Nothobranchius furzeri: one gene and its partners. The protein of the gene in region 5 interacts with the protein of the main gene of each other region in a pairwise test. Links are inferred from orthologs where the notes say so. Each region holds a gene or a part of one and is shown on either strand. Other genes may lie near its edges. The genes, in order: htt, lsm7, memo1, ckap5, tacc1 and snrpg.

Region 1 (3,500 bases), on a different chromosome or scaffold from region 5:
GTCATACATTGCAAGGCCTTGCACCTGGTTTGTGTTGAGAATGAGGGTGTTTCTCAATGTCAAGGCACCTGGCCTTGCAAGGTGATGTCTTGCGAGGCCAGGTGCCTTGCTTACGAGGACCTTGGTCAAAGAAAACGGTAAAATGGAACAGACTTGCATCATGTGACCGCAGCTTCCACGGCGGTCACGTAACGTCACGTGACACGGAAGATAACGTTATATTTCATCTCTATTAGTTGCAATATAAATATATAACGAGCCTTTGAATTTTTAAATTGTGTATATGTTAATTAAATTAAAAATATAAGCGAGTTACTACCCGCTAGCCACCGAAGCTGCAACTACCAAGCAACTAACAACCATAGATAACTCTTAGGATCTAAAAAAAATTTTTTAAATTAGTTTACTTACTTTTAAACTTGAAAATTGTCCCCGAAGTAGCTGCCGGCTTCTGATCCACTGTCTTTTTTCAAAATACAGCGGTGTATTGTGGGTAATTTTTGACCAAGGCTAGGCTACAAGACCCCTCCCGTGTGTCCTCGCTCAGCTAGCTAAACGGCTAACAAACGGAGAACACACGCCTCGGTAGAACACGAACATTGGAGCATGCCTTGGCGGCTCCCGATGACGTATCTCCTAGGCAACCGGGGCGGGGCCAAGACATCACGGCGAGGTTCCTCGGCATTGAGAAACACTCTGACTCTGCTAGCAGCGTGAAACGGAGGTCTGGTGGCCATCTTGAATCGAGTTGACTCGGTGTTTCCTCGAAGTGAATCTGGTGAAAACTTCCTAAGATATTTAGCAAACAGACATGCCACGTTCCAGTGTGGTATTTAAAGCATCATTAATCCGTTTACAGTCACAATATTTACAAACTGCATATTTGCTAAAATATCTCCTATTTTGGGTGATTCCTGCAGTGGACCGTGACCTGCTGTGTTTTATGCTGCATCCCTTTGCAGAGCGACAGTACGTCAGCGACGTTCTCTGCCTCATCACCCACGGGGACCCCCAGATCAGAGGAGCCACAGCCATCCTCTGCGGAGCCATCATACAAGCTGCGCTAACCAAAACACGCTACAACATTCACACCTGGCTGGCCAGTGTGCAGCGTGCAACAGGTTAGCGTCTGCTTTTTCTGCTGCTGGCATTCTAAACCTTATAAAAGTAGCTCATCAGGTCTGCCTGCTCTTTAGGTAACCCTTTGTCCCTGGTGGACTTGGTGCCTTTGCTCCAGAAAACTCTTAAAGATGATTCCTCTGTCACCTGTAAGATGGCTTGTTCTGCAGTCAGGGTGAGGTGGACCCGTGTGCTTTTTGGGTCTCGGGGCTCTAGCTGCAGTTGTGAGTCTGACTTTTTTTACTACTTGTGGGTGTTGCAGCACTGCATCATGACCCTCTGCAGCAGCACCCTGAGTGAACTCGGCCTGCAGCTGGTGATCGACCTCTTTGCTCTGTGGGACTCTTCCTACTGGCTCGTTCGCACCGAGCTCCTGGAAACGTTGGCTGAGTTAGACTTCAGGTAAAACAAACTCGAATACCCAAATCCAACATCTCAAACACTGACGAGACTCCAGATATTCTGTGTGTCTGGAGGATTTCCACATGTTAAAGTTCCTGATTTTTCTTTAGATTAGTCGGTTTCCTGGAGAGGAAAACAGAAACTTTACACAGAGGAGCTCATCACTACACTAAGGTAGGTTCAGACCTGTTTTCGTCCGTGTTTCTGTTATTAGTCCGGAGCTTTATTGTTCTGGGTTGGTTGATGTTCTTCTAGTGGCTGCTGCTGCAGGACAGAGTTCTGAATGACGTGGTCATACGTCTGCTGGGAGATGACGACCCAAGAGTCCGGCACGTGGCGGCGTCTGCTGTCAGCAGGTGTGTGACGGACTTGTGTTGATGCATCAACTGCAGTACCTAGATCTGACCACAGAAGGTCATTCTTCCTTCATGCTGCTTTAAGCTAGTTTTATTTCCTTGTTTTAAATCAGGGGTCGGCCGCGGCTCTTTTATCCATCTGATGCGGCTCCCTTCTCGTAAAATAATGAATGAATATTGAATATTATTCATTTTTTATCTGTATGCCAATTCTAAATTTAAAGATTGTCAGCGTAAACCGGAACAGGTCCAACAGCTGACAGGTCACCTGCAAATGTCTCTATAGGGGCTTTCTGAGTTGAGAAGGATGTGAGATTCTGGACTTTTGCCTCAGACAGGCTCATGAATGCATCGCTGCGTCGCCACATTGGAGACAGGAACAAGCGCTATTCAGCCAAAGTTTCATAATAGAGTACATTTTCTAAGAGACGAGTCTCTCTAGCCTTTTTCAGATAGACATTCTGGAACATTTGTGGACAATTCAATCCGGTTTTTAACCGGAACTGTGTTTTCAGACACACCACTTTTGTACCGGAACTTGTCCTTTCGGCTGCGTTCACACAGCAGGGAAAAGTTCCAGATGTCTGACGGCGGCGGGGGGTGGGGTAGGGGCGGAGAATCTGACTTATGTTTAGAAGAAAAAGAAGAAGAAAATATCATTTCTATAGCGCCTCTCCAGATAAAAATCACGAGGCGCTTAAGCATAATTCTGCGCACACGAAGACGCATAAGAGACCTGGATGATGAAGCTCAATGGTTAAAGGAATCACTGAAGCGGTGTGAAGCGCTCCATCGCGCGTCTAGGCAGTACCGTAGGAGGCAAGCTGCCGTGGTTCGTCGCATGCTACAGCAGCGAGCTATCTAGGTGCGCACAGCGTCCCCGTTCCCCTCCTCCTTCCCCTCCCCCTTGTCCGGAACTTTACCTCACCAGTCTGAAGCAGCCACCCTGTCTGTAACAAGTCCGGACCTGTTACTAGGGGTTTCGTCCGGTAAAATTCCGGAACACCTTATCCGGATGTTTGTATTCAGACACAGAGGTCTTACGGACAGAGTCCGGAACATTTCCGTTTTTCATGGCCTGTCTGAAGGGGGCTTCTGAGAGACACGGTTTGGGAAACACTCGCTTCAGTGAGAGGAATCTTCCTGCATGCGCACCGGTTCTGCAACGCGCTCCAAACCCCCGATCTACACATCAGCTGAATAAATCTTCAGCTCGCTGTCCACCTTACGCATGCGCTGAGCTCAGTGTCCAGCTCTGATGGGAACCTTTTCTTGATTGACATAACTACTAGGGATGAGCCGGATACTGGTGTCAGACGAGTATCCGGTACGGATAAAATATTTTTGACGAGTACGAGCATGAAACGAGTAAAACTCGTAAATATCTGTAATCGTGCTGAAGGAAAATCCTCATTGGGTAACTGACTGAGTTCCCGCTCTGTGATTGGCCAGTCAAATAGAGTGCCCGCCCCTCCCTACACACAAAACTGCAGTGGGAGCTCACAGCTCAGTCCGCGTCCGGTCCATCCACGCGCGCGCACACACACACACACACACACAGACCATAACGGATCTCTCTGTGCTTGCTTCACTGTTCACGTTTCTTCAATACTCCCTACGTTT
Region 2 (4,051 bases), on a different chromosome or scaffold from region 5:
AGTCCCCTCTGCAGGCGGTGTCATTGCAAACAGCCTCACCAAAATATCTTGACCTACTTGTGGTTTGCAACCCACCAACTGGTACACAGTCAGGGTTTATTAATAGTAGTCATGTGTGGGTCATGACCAAGCTAATTCAGTGTGCTGGCTTGTTCATGTCAATGACTGGAGCAAGCTCCATGCTGAGAGCCTTTATTGGTTATTGATTTTTTTCCCAATAACAATACTGAAACTCAAAAAATTAGAATATGGTGCAAAAGTTCACTTATTTCAATAATCCATCTTAGACTGAGAGACCATCTAAAGGCTCGGGAACCCTTTGCAGATGTTTTTGATTAATTAGCTGGTTAGAGTGCGACACTTTGAGTCTAGAGTATTGAACCTTCTCGCACGTTCTGTTTGTCTGAGATATTTAGTTTTAGATGTTTTCGTAAGCTGTAAGCCATAATCATCACACTTATAACAAATAAATGATGGAAATATCTGGTTTTGCATAGAATGAGTTTATCTCATGAATTTGTTTCACCTTTTAGGTTTTTATACTGAAATCAATAAACTTTTGAACCATGTTCAAATTTTTTGAGTTTCATCTGTATACATTTTATTTTAAAAAGGGTTTCATTGTGGGGCAGTTGGAAGCACTGGTGACTCACAGGAACAATGTCATAGGTTTAAACCTTGGCTACGGCCTTTCATTCTCTCCATGCATGTGTGGGTTTGCTCTGGGTACATGCTCCTCCAGCAGACCAAAAACATACAAGCTGATCGGCAACCCCAACTGTCTTTAGTTGTGAACTCAGTATTAGCATAGTTTTTAACACTGTTACATACTGTTTTGATTGTGAATTTAGCTAAATAATAAACGAAAAAGGCTGTTAGAGCGAGTTTCCCACTCGCTGATAACAAAAGTGTTATAGCGTTTTATTTAGAAAGAATTTACAGGCAGTTTTCTCTTCTCCATCTCCATCAACCAAAAGAAACAAAAATACAGATTATGATCCCCCCCCCCCCCCCCCCCCAGTTTCATTGCCATGAGACTAGAACGTTCCCTTCTAGCTTCTTAGAACCTGATTGTAGTTGCAGTTTATCCCCACTGGAGGGCGTAGATTTCTTCTGAGATTGTAGCCTGTAGCTATTAGCTAACGCACAATGCAGCTGAGAAAGATGAACGTTTTTCCCAGCCTGACAGCGTATTAAGACAATCACATGAGTGTGTATTTAACTCATTACGTTTTAGTAGAGATGGTAGTCCCGAGACTTTTACAAAAATCAATATTGTTTCATTTTACTTTTTATGGTCTACAGCTGGACCTCTCTGAACCCTCTGAACGCGTTATCTCATTGGATCACTATCATTTCCTAGGGTCTAAGATTTACTTCCGGGTCAGACAGTAAATATGGCGGTGAGTTCGTAATCCATGGCTTTCATTATATTGTGTTACTTTTTATCTTTTCACATCCACATTTGTATTGTTAAGATTTAGCTTTGTTTTCTGAACAAAAGTCGACTTGAACAACTTTTATTTTGCTGTGACGGTAGACGTTTTACTTAAATAACGTGGCTAGTAGTGAGCTAAGCTAAGGCTACGTTTTGTTTGTGATTAATTAGTGACTTAAGACAATGTAACCTGGCCTTTCTGCAGGATAAAGAAAAGAAAAAGAAGGAGAGCATCTTCGACTTGTCCAAGTATATCGACAAGACGATTCGGGTGAAGTTTCAAGGTGGACGAGAGGGTGGGTGGACCAAGCTGTTGCTAACCCTTTCATTTCGTGCAAGCAGTAAATGTCTAGATTTCCTTATGTGGAAGCCTAAAATTTGTGTTTTCTTCTCAGCAAGCGGCGTTTTGAAAGGATTTGATCCTCTGTTGAACCTGGTGCTGGACGGCACGATCGAATACATGCGTGGTAAGAAAACCAAAACTCAAATCCAGCCAGAAAACTGCTCCTCAGTCTGAGTCCATGTTTATATCGATGAAGGACTTTTCCTGAACACATTCCGAAGTTCCCCAACACACATAACTATAAAGTAATAATTCGCATTAATTTCGCCCCTACCGTCATCTTTAAAACGATCTACAGTTAGTGAAAATAAGCATGTTGATCAAAACATTATGTTCATGTTCAGAGCATGTTTAAGAGACATTTTTCTACTTCACTTTTTTGAGTTAATTTGTTTTTCAGTAAATTATCAGGAATACGTGTGTGTGTGCGTGCGTGCGTGCTAATCTTGTTTGACAATAAAAGCAACATAATTTTAGATTATCTTCAGTGGACGAACATTACATATAATTACATGTAGACAAAAACATGTTGCTGCTATGTTTAAAAGAAGAAAATTCACAGGCTCTAAATAATTCATTCTAAAACATCAAATAATCCGAGAGATTTTCTGGGCTTCAAATTGAAAAAAGGTTTCCAAATTTTCAAATCACGCCCTTGTATGTAAGATTAATTTTTCAGTTTCATAAAATTAAGAAAGTCTGTGTGTAAAAGCATCTGTGGAATTGTTTTCTTTTTGTACAAACAAACAGAAAACATTGTGTAGACACCTCTCTACTGGAACAGTGTGTTGTTTCCAGGTAAAGGTAAGTAGCTGGTTGTGTTTTTTGTGCTCTTACCCTGTAAGGTTACTCCACCTATCTCCTCTACCATCACTGTGGATTTGTTGAAAATGTGATGCTAGTTTGAACAAACACTGGAAAAATGCTCAAGTTTCTAATTCTCAGTTTAGTGTTTGGAGGGGAGGGTTGAGCTAATATTCAGAGGAGTCATGGAGGCCACTCGGGTGGAACAAAAACCAGAAACATGTGGGGGGAAATTAAATTGATTTAAAAATCCCCAAACAAAAGATGAGTGGCTTTTTTCAGTTTGAGGTTTGTTCTTTAGTGGTCGAAGCAGATTTTTAACAGTGATAACAAATCAAATGTTGTTGGTTTTTTATCGCTGTTACAAGTGGTCGTCTTGTGTGGACTTAACATCTTTGAAAAATACATCTGAACTGAAGATGGTCAAAACAAAAAAATCAAAGGTCTCACCATTCATGTTTTAGTTTTGAGTGCATTCCGGTAAAATGCTTGGTGGACACCCAGCTGCTTGACATTTCCAGTGTGAACGTTCTGTGGCTTTGTGTGCAGATCCAGACGACCAGCTGAAGCTGACAGAAGACACCCGACAGCTGGGGCTGGTGGTCTGCAGAGGAACCTCTGTGGTGCTGATCTGTCCTCAGGATGGCATGGAGGCCATTCCTAACCCATTCATCCAGCAGCAAGATGGATAACCCCCATGCTGCTGCGTGGCACACTTTTGATTAGACTTTTCTTTTTTAACATTACAGGACACTTGTCATTCAGACGACAAACATGTTTTAAGTTCATCACTGGTAAAATAAGGCTCCGTTGCACTTCAGTTTTATTTCCCTGCTAATTTTGCTCATTTTTGTGTTGTGAGGAGCTCCCAGTTCTGAAAGTGTTAAAACAAATTTCTTGTTATCTGAGTGAACTTTTTACTATTCTTTGTTTTTGATAAGAAAATAAAGTGGAAAAAAAGCTGAATCTGAATGTTTTTCTCCTTTGAACACAGAGGACGTGTTGGAAAGTTACACCAGATATGGTCTATTCGAAAGGGTGACAAGGATCTGAGTGGTTTTGTTGACCCGACAGACGTCCCCTACCTGCTGGTTGTGACTGACTCGATGGGTCTACAGACTACTGAACTCTGCAGTAAAAAAAAAGATGAGTGTGTTTAGGTTTAAAGGGAGTTTCTGTGTTTGAAGATAAACCGTTCAAGCTTGTCTGCACACTCACAAAGACACATATGTGGCATTAACAGCTTTTAAGTCAGTAATGCATTAAGCTGGGGTGGGGGTGTAAAGTAATGATATCTATGGATTGTTCCTTTTGAAAGAAAGGATCTTCAGTAGATTTTGGCGTTGGAGAAACGCAGAAACAAAATGCTGATGAGTTTTAAGTGAGATAACTGAAGCTGTTTTTTAAAATGGCAAAATTTTTACTTAACTGGATGTGAAACCTCCTAAAAGTAGGTTAGAATAGTG
Region 3 (3,500 bases), on a different chromosome or scaffold from region 5:
ATTTAGCCAGTGTGAGTCCGTGTGTGAGCAGAGGATCAACTAAAATGCTGCTTGGAAACGACTACATTCAAAGATCTTTAGAGACATAAAATGTTTCGCAGAAAATATTAAAAAAAAAAACCTAGAATATAAATAAATGACTGCCGACACCACCTAGAGTCGAGCCAACGTCAGCAGAGGGCGAAACGAAACAAAGGCAGATTTCGGTGCCACTGGACTACCATAGAAATACAAAACTGTGATCAGAGCGGCCACGGGCAGAGATTCACTGACAGGAACCTACCTTTTCATGTTGGGATATAAATTCAGGTTTTGCCATGTAGCAAATCTTGCTTCATTTGAACATAGAACAGAGTATTAACAATCGTAAACTAGTAACAGCCGTAGTTCTGGTCTGACAGCCGACCCGACACTGCCCACTTCAGTTCCGGAACGTAAGTGTTGCATTTTCCAAATATGGTACGGGTCTGACAACTGGCCCGACGCCGCCCCTTTCTGCGTGCTGCAGCCGGGTGTACTGGGATTGGCCGGCTGAAGTTCATGTCTGCCCAATAGGGGGAGCCTCTGACTGCTGGTTAGATTCAACCAGCCGTGACTTCCTGCATGCACGGTCCATGATCACTGCTCAGTGAGACAGTAGGAAGCAGTGTGCTTTATGACAGAGGATGCTTTGGTTTACTAACTTAAAGAGGACACCACAGACTTGGTAATGCACCTTTTGCCCCGCCCACATGCTCACAGACATCCACGTTCCTGAGAAGGCTGTGTGAACAGAACAAAACCTGGCTGTGCAGGAATGGGCTGACCCAACCAAGACCGGACCGGGCCGGGCCTCATGTGAAAATGCCATCATTTATCTTAATTCTTATCTTGCAACAGCAATAAAACCGATGTTTTTTGGCTAACAGAAGGTTGTGCTGGTGATGAATGTTTTCCTGTGAGTGAGATAAAGTTTTGCTTCCGATCAGTCGTAGGGTGTTCATTCTGGGACCTTCACATCACGTGCCCCTCTCCCGCTGTGCCCTGTCACCTGCAGACATCTATAGAACACCGCTCTATGACCTGAGAATTGACCAGAAGGGTACTCACTGTTATTCTCTTATATTTACTCTTATTCGTGTCTCAGACGTGTGTGTGAATGCATTGATGGAATAGCCTAGTTGTAATTTAAAGTGCATTTTAACCGTCTAACTGCAACTGTACACATCTTCTCACTCATTCTAAATCACTGCATTAAAGCATTTTACTCAGCTCTCATTGAGATTCTGAATCTGGAAAGAACATGCAGCTGCAAAAGTCATTTAGCCAATCGAACGCACCGACGACATGCATACATTAAAGGTAAAACCTCTCTCTTGCAGTTTACGCTGACCTCTGGAAGACTGGGTTGTTTGAGAGGATGAGTGTGCAGACAGATGAAGATGAGCACAGCATTGAAATGCACTTGCCTTATACTGCAAAAGCCATGGAGAGGTAATGCAATTCACCGTAAACAACTTTAAATGGAAATAAGCTACAGAATGAAACATTTTCCTTACTTCGGACTAAATAATACGGTTAAAACCAGATGAATGAGCCTTTTCTGCTGGTTGGTGGCTGAGCTCTGCTTTCTCATAAGCTTAACACAAAAAGCAGCTTTTGGTAATGTAATGCTATAATTATGGAGCTTGTGGCATGTGTGGTTATCACACCAGCTAGACAAGTATCGGGTTTGTTAGCCACGCCTAAATCTGATGGGAACTTTGTCCTTTATCCTGATTGTTTGTGAAACTTTTTCCCAGCAATGAAATCCACAAAAATTGAAAGTCCAGATACCACCAGAGTAAAACACACGGCGTCGTGTTAGACAAAAACTAGATTTGGAATTATCAGTTAAAATGAGTTTCATACAAACCAACCAGAAACTATTCTGAGTGAAAGCCGCTGCTCCTTATCGTCTTCCAAACATTTAATAACTGAAGATTTTCTGTTTTGGCACCAAAAAGCTGCTTCTGCAATCAGAATTTAGCTCCAGGTTCTTCTTCGTGTAAATCTGATCCTCTACATCTGGAAGCCATATTTGTCTCATTGGGCGTGTCCCAATCCAGGGCCTTCATCCCTCCGAGTACGCATTTTAAATTGGGTTATGTCACGTTGAAGGAACAAGTCCATCCGAGTTTGAAGGCTTCACAAATGTCTCCTCACATTCCCTGAATCTTGAGTCCAGTGTGCCCTCATAGGCAAAAGCTATCCCAGGGTTCATTTTGGGTCAACTGGGAGATTTTTGTTTTTGCAATAATGGCGAAGGACCCTGGATTACAGTTTTAGATGTTAACATGTGGTAAAAAAATTATATTTGTTGTGCTTTCTTCTTGTGAACCTGTCAGTGCACCCCAGCGCAGCTGTGGCTACGATGTAGCTCATCACCATCAGAGTGTGAATGTGTGTGGATGCGAGAATAACTGATTGTGTTGTGAAGCGCCTTGGTGGTGGTGGTGGTGGTGGGGGGGGGGGGGGGGGGGGTTGGAACCCCAAGAAGGCGCCATACAAATGGCCATTTACCATTTTGGTTTCAATATTTGAAAAGTCAAAAGTTTTAGAAGAATCCTCATAAAAGAGCTTGACACCATATTTCTTCATGTGTTTCTGGTAGGTGTGATTTTACAGTTGTGGTCAGAAGTTTACATACACTTGTAAAAAATATAATATAATGGCTCTACTGAGTGTCCCGTTATTTCTAAAACTCTGATTTTTCTCTGATAGAGTGATTGGAACAGATACTTCTTTGTCACAAAAAACATTCATGAAGTTTGGTTCTTTAATGTCTTTATTATGGGTTAACAGAGAAAAGTGATCACATCTGCTGGGTCACAAATATACATACAGCAACATGATCTAGCAATTTTGGTGACTTAGAAACGTGTCAGTGAACTGAGCTTCATAGCATGGCCTCTTAACTTCTTGTGAGTGATTATGAGTGACTACAGCGGGTGACTTCTCTTAGGCCAGGTAAATAGGGCTCATTGGATACAAACGCCCACAAACGCTACAATGGGAAAGTCAAAGGAGCTCAGCATGGATCTGAAAAAGCGAATTATTGACTTGAACAAGTCAGGAAAGTCACTTGGGACCATTTCAAAGCAGCTGCAGGTCCCAAGAGCAACAGTGCAAACAACTGTTTGTAAGTATAAGGTTCATGGCACTGTTTCATCACTGCCAAGATCAGGAAGAAAACGCAAGCTATCACCTGCTGCTGAGAGAAAATTGGTCAGGAGGGTAAAGAGGGAACCAAGAATCACCAAAAAGCAGATCTGCCAAGAATTAGAAGCTGCTGGAACACAGGTGTCATTGTCCACAGTCAAACGTGTTTTGCATCTCCATGGACTGAGAGGCTGCCGTGCAAGAAGGAAGCCCTGGCTCCAAAAGCGGCACCTTAAGGCTCGACTGAAGTTTGCTGCTGATCACATGGACAAAGATAAGACCTTCTGGAGGAAAGTTCTGTGGTCAGACGAAACGAAAAT
Region 4 (3,500 bases), on a different chromosome or scaffold from region 5:
TTCTCAGCCTCCAAGGTTTAGAGCTGAAGGAGCCTCTTGAACGAGAAGTGAAACGTCTTGTAGATAACCAGAGAAGTCCAGCTGTTTTCAGTGAAATCTCAGGATGACGGAGAGTCCACACCGACGTGCTGAAGCTCAGAGCAGCAACGCTTCAGGAACACTTAAACGTAGCTGCTGTCAGGAACAGTCGAACCGATTTCAAACATTAAAGCTCTAAACCGACTAAAGAGCGTAGAAAAGAACAAATCTCACAACTTTGTGTTGTTGTGAGATTTGTGGGATTTATTATTGTTGTAAGGGTTTGAGGTAAAGATGCAAGAGTAAAGTTATGCATTCGTTTTATTTTGAAGGGGAGTTCGAGGTTGTTTCTGGCTCCAGTGGGCGGCGGCTGTTATGCTAAGGAAAACCGCTGTTATGAGCGGTTCTGTGGCGAAGTAGTAAGGCGCGGGTTACTAGTTGAGTGACAAACACGCTCATGATTGGTCGCCCTCTAGAGCCCTGGCTGTTGATCATTTCTGGTTATTTGTCACCCGCAGCCTCCAGGTGTGCGGCGGCCAGCGAGGACCTCCCTGATGGTAAACCTGAAGCGAAGAAGGTCCGAGGAGGACCAGCGGCTAAGAAGGTACTTCAGTTCACATGGCTTCCTCATTGGTTCTTGGTGTGCTCGCAGGAACCAGGATGAGGCACCTTCCCAGTTGTTTCCTGTCAGAATTCAGTCATGATGGAGAAAATGTGTTTTTGATCATTTATGCTAAAGTTTTACGTGCCGGCCACGTGCACGCCCCTCACCTCCATTCATGTTACGTGTTTTTCTTTTTTCGCATCATTGTTGTTTGAACATGTTTATTTTTACCCACCCAGTCCTCCCCTCCTGACGATGCCCCCCCCAAGGACAAGGAGTGTAATGGTAGTAAAAAGCCCCCCCTCAAAGGGAAGGCTGCTGCTGGAAGCCAACAGGTAGACGTCTCACCTGAGGAAACTGTCCTCTACGTCTCTGTGGACTCCTGTCAGCCTGGCAGTTAGTCCAGCTGCTCTCAGATCAGTCTGCTGTGTGCACTAATACAGCCAAACGTGTGTGTGTGTGTGTGTGTCCTCCCTCCATAACTCCTTTTATTTCTCTTTTCTCTCTAACTGTAAAACTAACCTGTTGATAAACATTAACGAGTCCCGCCCCCACCCAGTGTCCAGCTGGTAAGAAGCCTGCAGCCAAAGGCCTGAAGGACGACGAGGACAAGTCTGGACCGATCTTCATCCTCGTTCCAAATGCCAAGGAGCAGAGAATCAAAGAGGAGAAGCAGCTGAAGGTACCGGTCGTGGTTCTGCAATGTGTTGAGCGTGTGTTTAGTGTTCAGGTCGGTTTAACGCTGGGCTCTTGGTGTTGGTAGATCCTAAAGTGGAACTTCATCACTCCTCGAGACGAGTACGTGGAGCAGCTGAAGACCCAGATGTCCACCTGCTTTGCTAAGTGGCTGCAGGATGAGCTGTTTCACTTCGACTTCCAGAGACACGTGAAGGCCATTGGTGTCATGATGGAGGTAGAATGTCTCTGTCCGGTTTCTGCTGCCGTTCCAACAGGAGCCTGGTCTCTCTAACCATCTGTGTCTGACAGAGGCTGGAGAGCGAGAGCGATGCTACCATCAGCTGTTTGGACCTGATCCTGAAGTGGTTCACCTTTCGTTTCTTTGACACCAACACCACGGTCCTGATGAAGGTTCTGGAGTATCTGAAGTTGCTGTTCACCATGCTGAACAGGGAGAACTACCACCTGACGGAGTATGAGGCCAACTCCTTCATCCCCTACCTGCTCTTGAAGGTGTGGGCGTAACACTGGGACACCAGACGGGTTTCCATCAGGCTCTGAGTTTTACTTTGTCTTCTGCAGGTTGGAGAATCTAAGGATGTAGTTCGTAAAGATGTTCGGGCCATTCTCGCTATGCTGTGTAAAGTTTACCCAGCATCCAAGATCTTTCCTTTCCTCATGGAAGGAACTAAATCCAAGAACTCCAAGCAGAGAGCTGGTAGGTCTCAGATAGGTCACAATGGAGTATCAGCAGCTCGGTGTCTTTGTAGCTAAATCTGAGTCAAACCTCTGTTTCCTCAGAGTGTCTGGAGGAGTTGGGCTGTCTGATCGAAGGATACGGGATGAATGTGTGTCAGCCGACTCCTGCCAAGTCTCTGAAGGAGATTGCTGTCCACATTGGGGACAGAGACACGTCCGTCCGTAACGCTGCTCTCAACACCGTGGTGGCCGTCTACAACGTCTGCGGCGACCAGGTCTACAAACTGATCGGAAACGTAAGAACGACCTGATGCTGCGGCAGAACTGGACACAACAGGACATGGATGATTGGTATTTGTCTCTGGTTGCTTCCAGCTATCGGAGAAGGACATGAGCATGTTGGAGGAGCGGATCAAACGCTCGGCTAAGAAGGCTGCTGCAGCTCCGCCCAAACAGGCGCCGGCTGACAGACCGCAGAGGGAAAACCCAACCAATTCCACCGCCACTTTCCTCCGGAAGCCAGCTCAGGAAGACCCTAACAAGCTCAAGTAGGTCCATGCACACACACACGCACAGTGATGGGTCGCTGCTGACGTGGAACTGACAGATCTTTAAAACTGTTCTTCTTTTCTGCTGATTGATTGATTTTTGTCTGGTTTAAACTCTCTGACCTTTGACCTTTCTTCAGCATCTCCTTTTCTGGACTAATCTGTCCTGTTTTCTGAACTGGTGCATGCTGGGTTACCCTCACAGCGACATGCGGAGTCAGAACGTCTCTGTGAGAGCAACCCTGTCTTTGTCCACCTTTAACCCCTCCTCTCTCTCCCTGTGTGATTCCCTCCTCTCTCTGCTCTGCTGCCTTCTTTCCTGGAGCAGAATAATGTATCGCACGTATAGGATGTGAGTACAACTCCTCCTCCTGGTGTCATTGATTTTATGAATGCATCCTAACCCCCTGAGCCTTTGACCTTTAGCTCTGCTGGCATGTGGCAGCAGACTGATGGTCGAAAGGCTCAGCTGTCTCCTCTAACACCCCCAACACCACCCTCGAGTCGGTGACCTCACACCTGAGGACCTGTTCTCTTGTCAGTGTTGTTGCTTGTGCTGAGTCAACGGAGGCCGTTGGCTCAGATTAAGGACCACATGTTTAAAGGAGCAATAAGTAAGAATTCTACAGTGAAATAATCACCATCAGTTTATTGTCTCAGTAATGTTGGAGGGAAGGTGGCACAGCCACAGATTTCAGTCTCGGCTGGCTGGGGGTTCTGCAGTTTTTCTCCTTCAAAAATAATTAAGAGGGATTTAGTTACAGTTTGCAGTCAGTGACTCGTGAGGTTTCCACGTCTGCGCCGAGCTCATGCAGCAGCGCCGGCATTTGTAATTCGACACCAGCAGGCAAAAAATCTCCATATTTGTTTAAGAACCTAAACCAGTAAACAGGAGCGACCCAGAAGGTTTTCTGGTACCCCTAGGAAGCCACGGTATCTTTTGGTTTCAGTGC
Region 5 (4,239 bases):
GTTGTTTTTCACCTTAAGTGTGCAAATGTGTCCAGATTTTATGAATCTGTTAATGATATTTCACAAACACACAAATAATAAAATGAAATGTTACCAAATGCACAGATAAAGTTTGATTTTTGATGCCTGTTTCTGTGAAAACAGTGGATGTCCCACAGTTGGTACATCCTCTGTCTGCCCCTCTGATGTAAACAAAAATCATGCAGTTCATGCAAACCTATAGTTTTTAATTGGAATCTGTCCTAAAATCTCTGTTTTACAGCAATTTTCTTTCACAATAAGAAACATTTGCATAAATTGGGTATATAATAGCCACGGCTTGCATCTCCACCTGTGTTATTCATCTGATCTAAGTTAAATAACTTTTAGAATCTGTTGTTATTTCTATCAGATGTTTTGGAAACTTGCTCCCGTGGTCAAGGTGTAAACGTTTATCCATCCATTTTCCTCCACTTGCCCGGGGTTGGGTCGTGGGGGCAGAGGCCCAGACTCCCCTCTCCCCAGTTACTTGGATCAATTCTGGGGGAATTCCGAGGCGCTCCCTAGCCAGCCGAGAAACATAGCCTCTCCATCGTGTCCGTGACCTCCTCCCATTTGAAAACCTCACCAGGGAGGCATCCAGAAAGCATCCTAACCAGGTGCCCGAGCCACCTCAACTGGTGTAAACTTACAAAATAATGTCCACAGCTCATGATGAATATATTGTTTAAACCATTTCCAGACAGACTGCTCTCTGACTTGTTTTAGGGTTTTAATGGTGAACAGCCAGACTATTTCAGCAATAAGGTTATGGATGTTTCTTTTTTTAGCAGCCTTAAACAGCTCTAGTGGGATGAGTGATGTTGTGTCACCCTCCCAGCTGTTTAATCAGTCTGTAAGTACAACAGGTTTTTAACCACCTAATATTGACTGTATTGTGTGAATATGTGTGTATTCACTAGTTTTCAGACTTTTACACCAGTCTGGTAATTAACCTGAGGCCACAAAACAGAACTGGTTCTCCTGGTCTCACTTGTCTGCTACTGGATGGGTTAACAGCTACAGCCTGGGGGAGGGCGAGAGAGGGAGGGAGGCTGTGGTGAATAAGTCTTTTAGATCCAAGCTCACATTCCTAACCTCTCTCTGGACTATTAAATGTGGAGCCCCAGCAGTTCAGCTCCTCCTCCTCCTCTTCCTCCCTCTGTGTTTGTTTTGTGGCTCACTCCTTCTGACTCAAAGTGGAAGAACGGTCTGACAGGGACGTACCATTCTCCAACCACAGGGGGAAGTCATTTAGCAGAGTCAGGAGAAGCACCAGTCAGTTTTACCGCCTCCACCCCCACGCCTGCGTTTTCCATCAGTGAGCTGCTCCAGGGCGGAGGGGGTTCAGAGGAGGAGAGAGGGAGCAGAGAAACCAGCTGATCAGACCTGAGGTATTCTGCTACAGAGGGAGAGTCAGCGTGACTGGAAGTGACTGAGATTGAAGATTCACAGATTGTTTTATTTAAAACAAAAAAGAGAGAGAGATGCCTCTCTTCTTTCATTGGGAACTGAGGAATCGTGAAAAGGGAAAAGCCTTGTGGGAGAATGTGAGAGCTGTTGGCTGGGAGGAGATCTGAGGAAGAGTCTGACAGAAAAGGAACAAACCTTTGGCTGCTGGGGGTCGAAGAACTGCAAAATAAGGAGAGATGTCGTGGCTGTCACCTGTGTCGTGGGCCAAATGGACGTGGACAGCAGTGCGAGGAGGAGAGGAGGATGAAGAGGAGGCTGGTGGGGATGGGGAGCAATTTGGGAGAACGGAAGAGGAGGTGGAGGAGAGATCCCAAAGCTGCAGGCAAGTGCTGAGCTGAAACCTTGGTGTGATCATCACTGTCTGGTCCTACTTTAGCAGCTTCAGGTTGAGTAACCTCTAATCATGAAGAGTTAGAGTCTGACGGGTCAGAAGGGTGTGTGTGTGTGTGTGTGTGTGTGTTGTGATGACTGTGTTATATTTACAAATGTGTAAATTGGTTGTGTTTTTAGAATTTAGAGATTTTAGTGCCGGCTGCTTCTCAATGCTGTCTCGAATTGCCCCTCGGGGACTAATAAAGTTGTCTTGAGTCTTGAGTTACCTCTGTTCCACGTGTATTCAAACACAACTTGGTCCTTTGCTGACCTCTCACCTGCTCAGATAGTGTATCATTGAGCTGCTCTGTTCCAACATGATGAGATCAAATCTAAACACACTTTTGTTGTGAAGACCAGAGTTGAGACAGATCCAAGTGCTTCAAATGTCTACAATAAACACTGCTTGAATTTTGCTCTGCGTTGTTCTTAGAATGTAACAGGAAGTAGTGGGCCGCTCTGCGTCTGCTTCCTCTTCCTTTGTGTAAGTTTAACTTTATGTTCTTTTCTCCTGTTCTGGTTCACAGAAACAGATAACTTAAAGATGAAGGCAAAGCTCACTGTAGGTGGATTAGATGCTATAAAAAAGTAACACATCTTGTTCTTTACACGGGGTGACAAAAACAGAACGTCCTAACACTCATGTCTCCAACCTCCATGGGAAAAAGGCGTTTTTTTACATTTTCTACTAAAATTAAATTTACATACAGACACAAAATGAACTTAGATTTAATTAAAACAAAAACCTAGCTCTAGCCCAAAACTGATCACTGCGATTTAAAACTCAAGCCTGTCACGTTGAGAGGATGGTTTGGACCCAAAATGCAGTAACCCAGGATGACACGAGGCAGAAGTGGATATGAAGTAAAAATCCTTTTATTTAGGAGGCTGGGCATAAATCCAAAAGCAACACTGGCAAAAGGAAAAACAGAAGCTCTTTCACGAGTAAGCTCAGGAGAACACTTTAGACGGACAAAAACAACACTGACAACGACAATGGACCGTCAAGAACAATGAGACAAGGAAAAGCTTTATACACTGGGGCTGGAGTGATAGGAGACGAGGAGCAGGTGTGTGGAGAACTGGCACAGGTGAAATCACTAATGAGGAGAGGAGCAGAGCAGGACACCAGACCTGACTGGGACGGACAAACAAACACACACACACACACACACACACACACACACACACACACATACATACACATACTGACACACACATAAACTCATACACACATATACTGAGCTGGGGAACAAGAGGCTGGAGCTACAACTAGAGGGGCTGAGGATGACTGGATGTGACAGGACCTGGGAGGAATGATTTTAAAGGGCTACAACATAAGACACATAACAGAGATGCAGACAAAGGACACATGAGGGCGCTAAGAGAACACAAAAGGGAATCCAGAGAGGGATGGAGAAACATAATGAGACACATGGGGAAAGAAGCAGACAAAGAACACATGAGGGTGCCATGAAACACAAAAGGAGAACCTGGAGTGGGAACTGGAGGGGCTGGGGAACAAAGGGACACAGAACATGACAAAGCCATTTCAGACTGATTATGATACTGAACCAACGGAAGCTGTGCACAGCATGCCTGATTTCATGCTGAAGTAATCAGAAGTTTCACACATGCACCACAGTTCCGTGCACATATTTCAAAATAATTGGCTAAAATTAAAAGGAAGGAACCTCCAGAGCTGCAGGATGCAGCCTCCTGTTACGACTCCAGAAACTTTGCAAGATGATTACAAAACTGTACTTTTCACTTTAAACACAGATGAGTTGGAAGTCTTCATGCTGGTGATGTCATTGTTTGTTTGGTCTGGATGTGTGATTAGGGATCGTAGCATGAACATGTCCTCGGTTAGTGTCTTAGGTTACACCTCCAAGAGCCATTTCTGCTCCTGCTGCAGTTCTGCTAAAGTCTAATTCAGCTCTGAGCATCAGTAGTTTTAGGATAACCGCTCTGTCAAGCTAAACTAAACGAGTACACGATGCTCCTAACAATTATTTACTCAAGTTTCTTTACACTTTTAGGATGCTTGACCTGTTTTTGTTTTAAAAAAATCAGTGCTGCACTTTTGTGTATATTTAGGGTATTTATTTACAATATCAGTTATTTGTACACCAAACTCAAGAAAAGTTTTATCAACCTATCATGTCATAAAAACGATTACGGCCACTGTAGTTGCATTTCTCACTTTTCACACTTTTTACACATACATAGTTGATAAGTTGAAAAAATAAATAGACAATTAAGTCAATGAACTCTTTGCAGTAAACTAAAAGCTCTTTTCACAGTAACGCACACATAATAACTATATTATTACATGTCCGTAACTGTGGGATTTTCCACATTGATTATTTTACA
Region 6 (4,139 bases), on a different chromosome or scaffold from region 5:
ACGATCTAAGTGAGACATCCTCATCTTAATCTGCTCCGGTAGGTAAATAACATGTTTAAGATAACGTTAGCTCGATATGTTAGCTTCCGTTTCGCTAATGGTGTGTTCGCTTTCTCCTCGGAACTTCGAATTTCCGACTGGAATAACATGAACGCGCTCTAAAGTTTGGCTTCACTTTACTAAATGCGACGGGTGATTGGGTGAAGATGAAACCAGCGACAACGATCTAAGTGTGAGGCATCATCGTTTTAATCTGCTCCAGCAGCTAAATAAACTGTTTAAGATAACGTTAGCTTGGTATGTTAGCTTCCATTGCCACCGTTGTTATCAGCTAATGGTGCGTTCGCTTTCTCCTCGGAACTTCGAATTTCCGACTGGAATAACATGAACGCGCTCTAAAGTTTGGCTTCACTTTACTAAATGCGACGGGTGATTGGGTGAAGATGAAACCAGCGACAACGATCTAAGTGTGAGGCATCATCGTTTTAATCTGCTCCAGCAGCTAAATAAACTGTTAAAGATAACGTTAGCTTGGTATGTTAGCTTCCATTGCTACTATTGTTATCAGCTAATGGTGCGTTCGCTTTCTCCTCGGAAATTCTAACTTCCCAGTAGGAAAAATCAAATGAAAAAGACGGCAAAAGGAATGAAGATACACAGTAAATTTAGTTCACAGTAAAGACGTTTGCTTCAGTTTAATTATCAGCTTATAAAACTACAAGGACCATGTTAAAATACAAACAGTTGTATGTTTTTTATCGTGATATTTATCAAATATGGTTATATATTGAGAAAAATATATATTTAATTATAAAAGAGAATTAAAATAATAAACACTCAAAAGTATCTAAAATTGATACCGTTAAGTACCGGTATCGATTCCTAGGTACCGGGAATTAGTACCGGATCGATTCAAATGTCAAAGGTACCCATCCCTAAGTCTGACTGAGCGCTTCCAGGAGAAATTATGAAAACAATAACGCGTGTTTGGAGCATCGGTTTAGAGGAGCGTCCTGCGATCCTCTCGTGTGAGTAGACAGTCTCTCTCTCTGATCGAGCGGAGCGCGCCACATGACAACCCGCTCAATTAACATAATTCACGGCCCAAATCCAACAGAACCGGTCGGGCTGATTTGGTTCCGGCTCAGGTTACAACTCTAGCGCTCAGCAATGCAGTACCACATCAAGGCGGAACCACGTGGTAAATGTGGAGGACGCTCACTCTGACAGATGCTGGTGCCGCCGTTAAAAAAACAAAACTACATTCCACTATAATCGATTACGGCGTACTCTTCTACGATTTATGTCCGCATCCCGATGCATCGATTATTTTCCTCAGCTCTAATTTGAATGCAGGAAAAACCCTGCACAATCTTCACAGAACCCCTGCAAACCAAGCTATTTACCCCAATTATGCAGCTAAATAAACAAAAGTAAATACAAACATTTAAAATCTAACCAAACATTAGCTGACATGCCTAAAAAATGATTTTACACCAACAGAATGATCTCTTAAAAGTTATCAAAGAAATATATTTATTATTGCGCATGTGTATACTCACAATTGCCTATCCCTAGACTCACTCTGTCAGTGTTTGAGGCAAGCAAACGACCGGATGCAGTCTAACTTCCTCCAGTTTAACAAAGACGAGACTGAAGTTATCGTCTTTGGGAATCAGAAGGTTAGGATGGACGTTACTGCTCAGCTCGGCTCCAGAGGAACGAAGACAAGGCAGCTTTATGTCTCGAGCACGTTTCAAACACAGAGGCAATCCTATGTGCTTTACAGTCACCAGGACATGATAAAACACTAACTACAACACACACAGATAGAATTACAGTTTAGAGCTAAAGGACAAAGACTCATAACTGATTCAGACCTGAGCTGCACCGGGTCAGAACCAAGCAGGGTGATGCTGCACACAGATGAAATCAGCTTCCCCGCGAGCTCAGATGTGCCCCATCTCTGGTCTCTTTATTCATCTTCCTGTCAGTCGTTGCTCCTCGTGCTGCACCTTCTGCTCTGGTGTTCCCAACCCTTCTCAGCCTTTTGATTTGACTTAGATGGATTTTAAATCTGCTGGTTTTTGTCAGACTTGCTTCATAGACCCAGACCAGGCTGAGCACCACGGAGGACAATGCCCTCCACCCTCTAACCTTTAACCCTACCCTGAGAGTTTAAGCACACCCCAACCTACAAGCGGCTTTTAAGAAGGACTGAAAACGTTTCTCTCTAGTAGATCTTTTATAGTAAAGCTTTTCATCTTTCATAATCAACATTTTCCTTTCCTCTAAACGCGTTGAGATTGTCGTGATGTAAAGCGCAACACAAATGCAATCGATTATTATTCCGTCACGTGGTTTTAATGTTTTAGCACCTTAAAACTATAAACTCTTCATAATCACAATAGGGGCTTTAAAGACATATTCGTAAAACGCCATACTCACATGAAAGCTTTTTATCCATGAATCTGAAACATAAAACAACATTTCAGGCGACGGTGGTTCACAGTTCAGGCAGGGTTGCTAATGTTAGCCTCATGGTAAAGAATGGAGCAAAGCTAACAGGCTAACACGTTCTTTCCGTTAAAATCGTGGAAACAAAATTAATAATTTCTAATTGTTATTTTTAAACACGTGAACTTACTTCTTCAGCTCTGGCGGGTGTGCTTTGCTCATTCTGTATCGTTTTTTGTACCGAAGTCCGGTGAGCTAGCTCGTCGGGGTTACGTTGAACAAAACCGCGGAAGGAAAATGTGACCGGAAGTGAAGCAGTTAGCGTTTACAGTCCCACTACGCCCCCTCGAGGCGGGGAGGAGAACGTGTTAGGGTTGGATCTGCAAATATCTGCAAGAACACTTTGTTTCAAACAACTTTTACAATTTTATTGTCAATCTTACAAAAAAGCAAAAGTAAACGTAAGTATTACATATTATACTGAAATGTATTTGAAATGTAAAACGATGTTAATAAGTGCATATTTTATGTTCCTTCTACCTTATTGTTTGTATTCAGTTGACCATTTATTTTGCTGTTGAACGACAGAGATGCATTGTGCTGCCTGATTTTTACCTGTCAGACCGGAGTCCCTAGCTCCCAGCAGTGTCAGCTCAACTTCGTTCTCTTCTTTTCCAGGATGGAAATCTGTTGTGCAGTTTGTATAATTTACACAATTTAACCTAATCTTTAAAGTTATTCTTTCATTTCTGTAAATTCTCATCAAGTTAAAAAGTATAGTTAAAATTAAGCAGATTCAACAGATAACAGGAAGAAGAGCTATTTTTGACAAAGTAAAAAACAACAAATAAAATTCAGTGAAACCAAGTTTGACTATGAAAACTCATGGAAGCCCACAACCAATATCTAAGAACACAATAAAACCAGATTGTGATTTCAAGAAGGCAACTGTAGAAGTCAAGTCCATTACTCGAACTCCTGAGGCTGCTAGACCGGGACCTGGTTGACGCTCTGTGTTGATCCGATGTTGACTAAATTACTTGAACAGCCTTAAGCGTGGAGTTGTTATGATAATGCTTCTTGTTTAATGTTGATTGCATTCCAGGATGTAACAATGATAGGAGTAATCCGATTACTTTCCCATTCAAACGTCTTCATGCCACAGCGGTCAAAAACCTGTTTGCCCTTCCGGAATAGTGCCTGACGCCAACAATGACATCACTACCTTTATTCCGACCAGTAACAATGACATCACTACCTTTATTCTGACCAGTAACAATGACATCACTACCTTTATTCTGACCAGTAACAATGACATCACTACCTTTATTCTGACCAGTAACAATGTGATAGAGTGGGAACTCTGGAAGTTATTTGCTGATCTGACAGTATCTTCAAGATAAGGGCTCCGGTCAGAGAGCAGGGCACGGAGAGACAGTTTTACGTATTTAATGACAGTTGAAGTATGGACATCTGTACATTTCTGTGGTTCCGTGTGGTCTGGAAAATAAATACAAAGAATGATGTAAAAGGATTGTACAAATGGTGAAGTAAATATGCCAACGTTTAAGACTAAGCAAAAACAAATATATTCCCAAATGATGCACATTCAAGGGTAACACAGAGTAAATATTGTGACTTCCAGCCTCAGAGGCACTGACAAATTATATGATCTCCAGGGA

Evidence for each region.
Region 1: the proteins of tacc1 (region 5) and htt interact in binary tests that used the Homo sapiens proteins (3 or more experiments, as listed by UniProt). The link is inferred for Nothobranchius furzeri from reciprocal best matches to the Homo sapiens genes TACC1 and HTT.
Region 2: the proteins of tacc1 (region 5) and lsm7 interact in binary tests that used the Homo sapiens proteins (3 or more experiments, as listed by UniProt). The link is inferred for Nothobranchius furzeri from reciprocal best matches to the Homo sapiens genes TACC1 and LSM7.
Region 3: the proteins of tacc1 (region 5) and memo1 interact in binary tests that used the Homo sapiens proteins (3 or more experiments, as listed by UniProt). The two-hybrid records come from large-scale screens. The link is inferred for Nothobranchius furzeri from reciprocal best matches to the Homo sapiens genes TACC1 and MEMO1.
Region 4: the proteins of tacc1 (region 5) and ckap5 interact in binary tests that used the Homo sapiens proteins (3 or more experiments, as listed by UniProt). The link is inferred for Nothobranchius furzeri from reciprocal best matches to the Homo sapiens genes TACC1 and CKAP5.
Region 6: the proteins of tacc1 (region 5) and snrpg interact in binary tests that used the Homo sapiens proteins (3 or more experiments, as listed by UniProt). The link is inferred for Nothobranchius furzeri from reciprocal best matches to the Homo sapiens genes TACC1 and SNRPG.

The regions. Positions count from the first base shown.
Region 1 is NC_091746.1:25,523,101-25,526,600, forward strand, and holds part of htt (huntingtin), read left to right. Parts: intron 1-962; coding exon 963-1,121; intron 1,122-1,196; coding exon 1,197-1,294; intron 1,295-1,381; coding exon 1,382-1,521; intron 1,522-1,631; coding exon 1,632-1,695; intron 1,696-1,776; coding exon 1,777-1,877; intron 1,878-3,500.
Region 2 is NC_091748.1:58,320,411-58,324,461, reverse strand, and holds lsm7 (U6 snRNA-associated Sm-like protein LSm7), read left to right. Parts: upstream 1-1,293; 5' UTR 1,294-1,397; coding exon 1,398-1,403; intron 1,404-1,643; coding exon 1,644-1,734; intron 1,735-1,833; coding exon 1,834-1,905; intron 1,906-3,134; coding exon 3,135-3,277; 3' UTR 3,278-3,551; downstream 3,552-4,051. UniProt on the Homo sapiens protein: Plays a role in pre-mRNA splicing as component of the U4/U6-U5 tri-snRNP complex that is involved in spliceosome assembly, and as component of the precatalytic spliceosome (spliceosome B complex).
Region 3 is NC_091752.1:1,582,739-1,586,238, reverse strand, and holds part of memo1 (protein MEMO1), read left to right. Parts: intron 1-968; coding exon 969-1,081; intron 1,082-1,361; coding exon 1,362-1,473; intron 1,474-3,500. UniProt on the Homo sapiens protein: May control cell migration by relaying extracellular chemotactic signals to the microtubule cytoskeleton. Mediator of ERBB2 signaling.
Region 4 is NC_091744.1:80,665,906-80,669,405, forward strand, and holds part of ckap5 (cytoskeleton-associated protein 5), read left to right. Parts: intron 1-536; coding exon 537-622; intron 623-861; coding exon 862-957; intron 958-1,181; coding exon 1,182-1,304; intron 1,305-1,385; coding exon 1,386-1,535; intron 1,536-1,609; coding exon 1,610-1,813; intron 1,814-1,882; coding exon 1,883-2,018; intron 2,019-2,101; coding exon 2,102-2,295; intron 2,296-2,374; coding exon 2,375-2,547; intron 2,548-2,875; coding exon 2,876-2,899; intron 2,900-3,500. UniProt on the Homo sapiens protein: Binds to the plus end of microtubules and regulates microtubule dynamics and microtubule organization. Acts as a processive microtubule polymerase. Promotes cytoplasmic microtubule nucleation and elongation. Plays a major role in organizing spindle poles.
Region 5 is NC_091743.1:54,552,009-54,556,247, forward strand, and holds the start of tacc1 (transforming acidic coiled-coil-containing protein 1), read left to right. Parts: upstream 1-1,439; 5' UTR 1,440-1,667; coding exon 1,668-1,813; intron 1,814-4,239. UniProt on the Homo sapiens protein: Involved in transcription regulation induced by nuclear receptors, including in T3 thyroid hormone and all-trans retinoic acid pathways. Might promote the nuclear localization of the receptors.
Region 6 is NC_091755.1:44,512,057-44,516,195, reverse strand, and holds the start of snrpg (small nuclear ribonucleoprotein G), read right to left. Parts: upstream 2,801-4,139; 5' UTR 2,680-2,800; coding exon 2,648-2,679; intron 2,472-2,647; coding exon 2,449-2,471; intron 1-2,448. UniProt on the Homo sapiens protein: Plays a role in pre-mRNA splicing as a core component of the spliceosomal U1, U2, U4 and U5 small nuclear ribonucleoproteins (snRNPs), the building blocks of the spliceosome.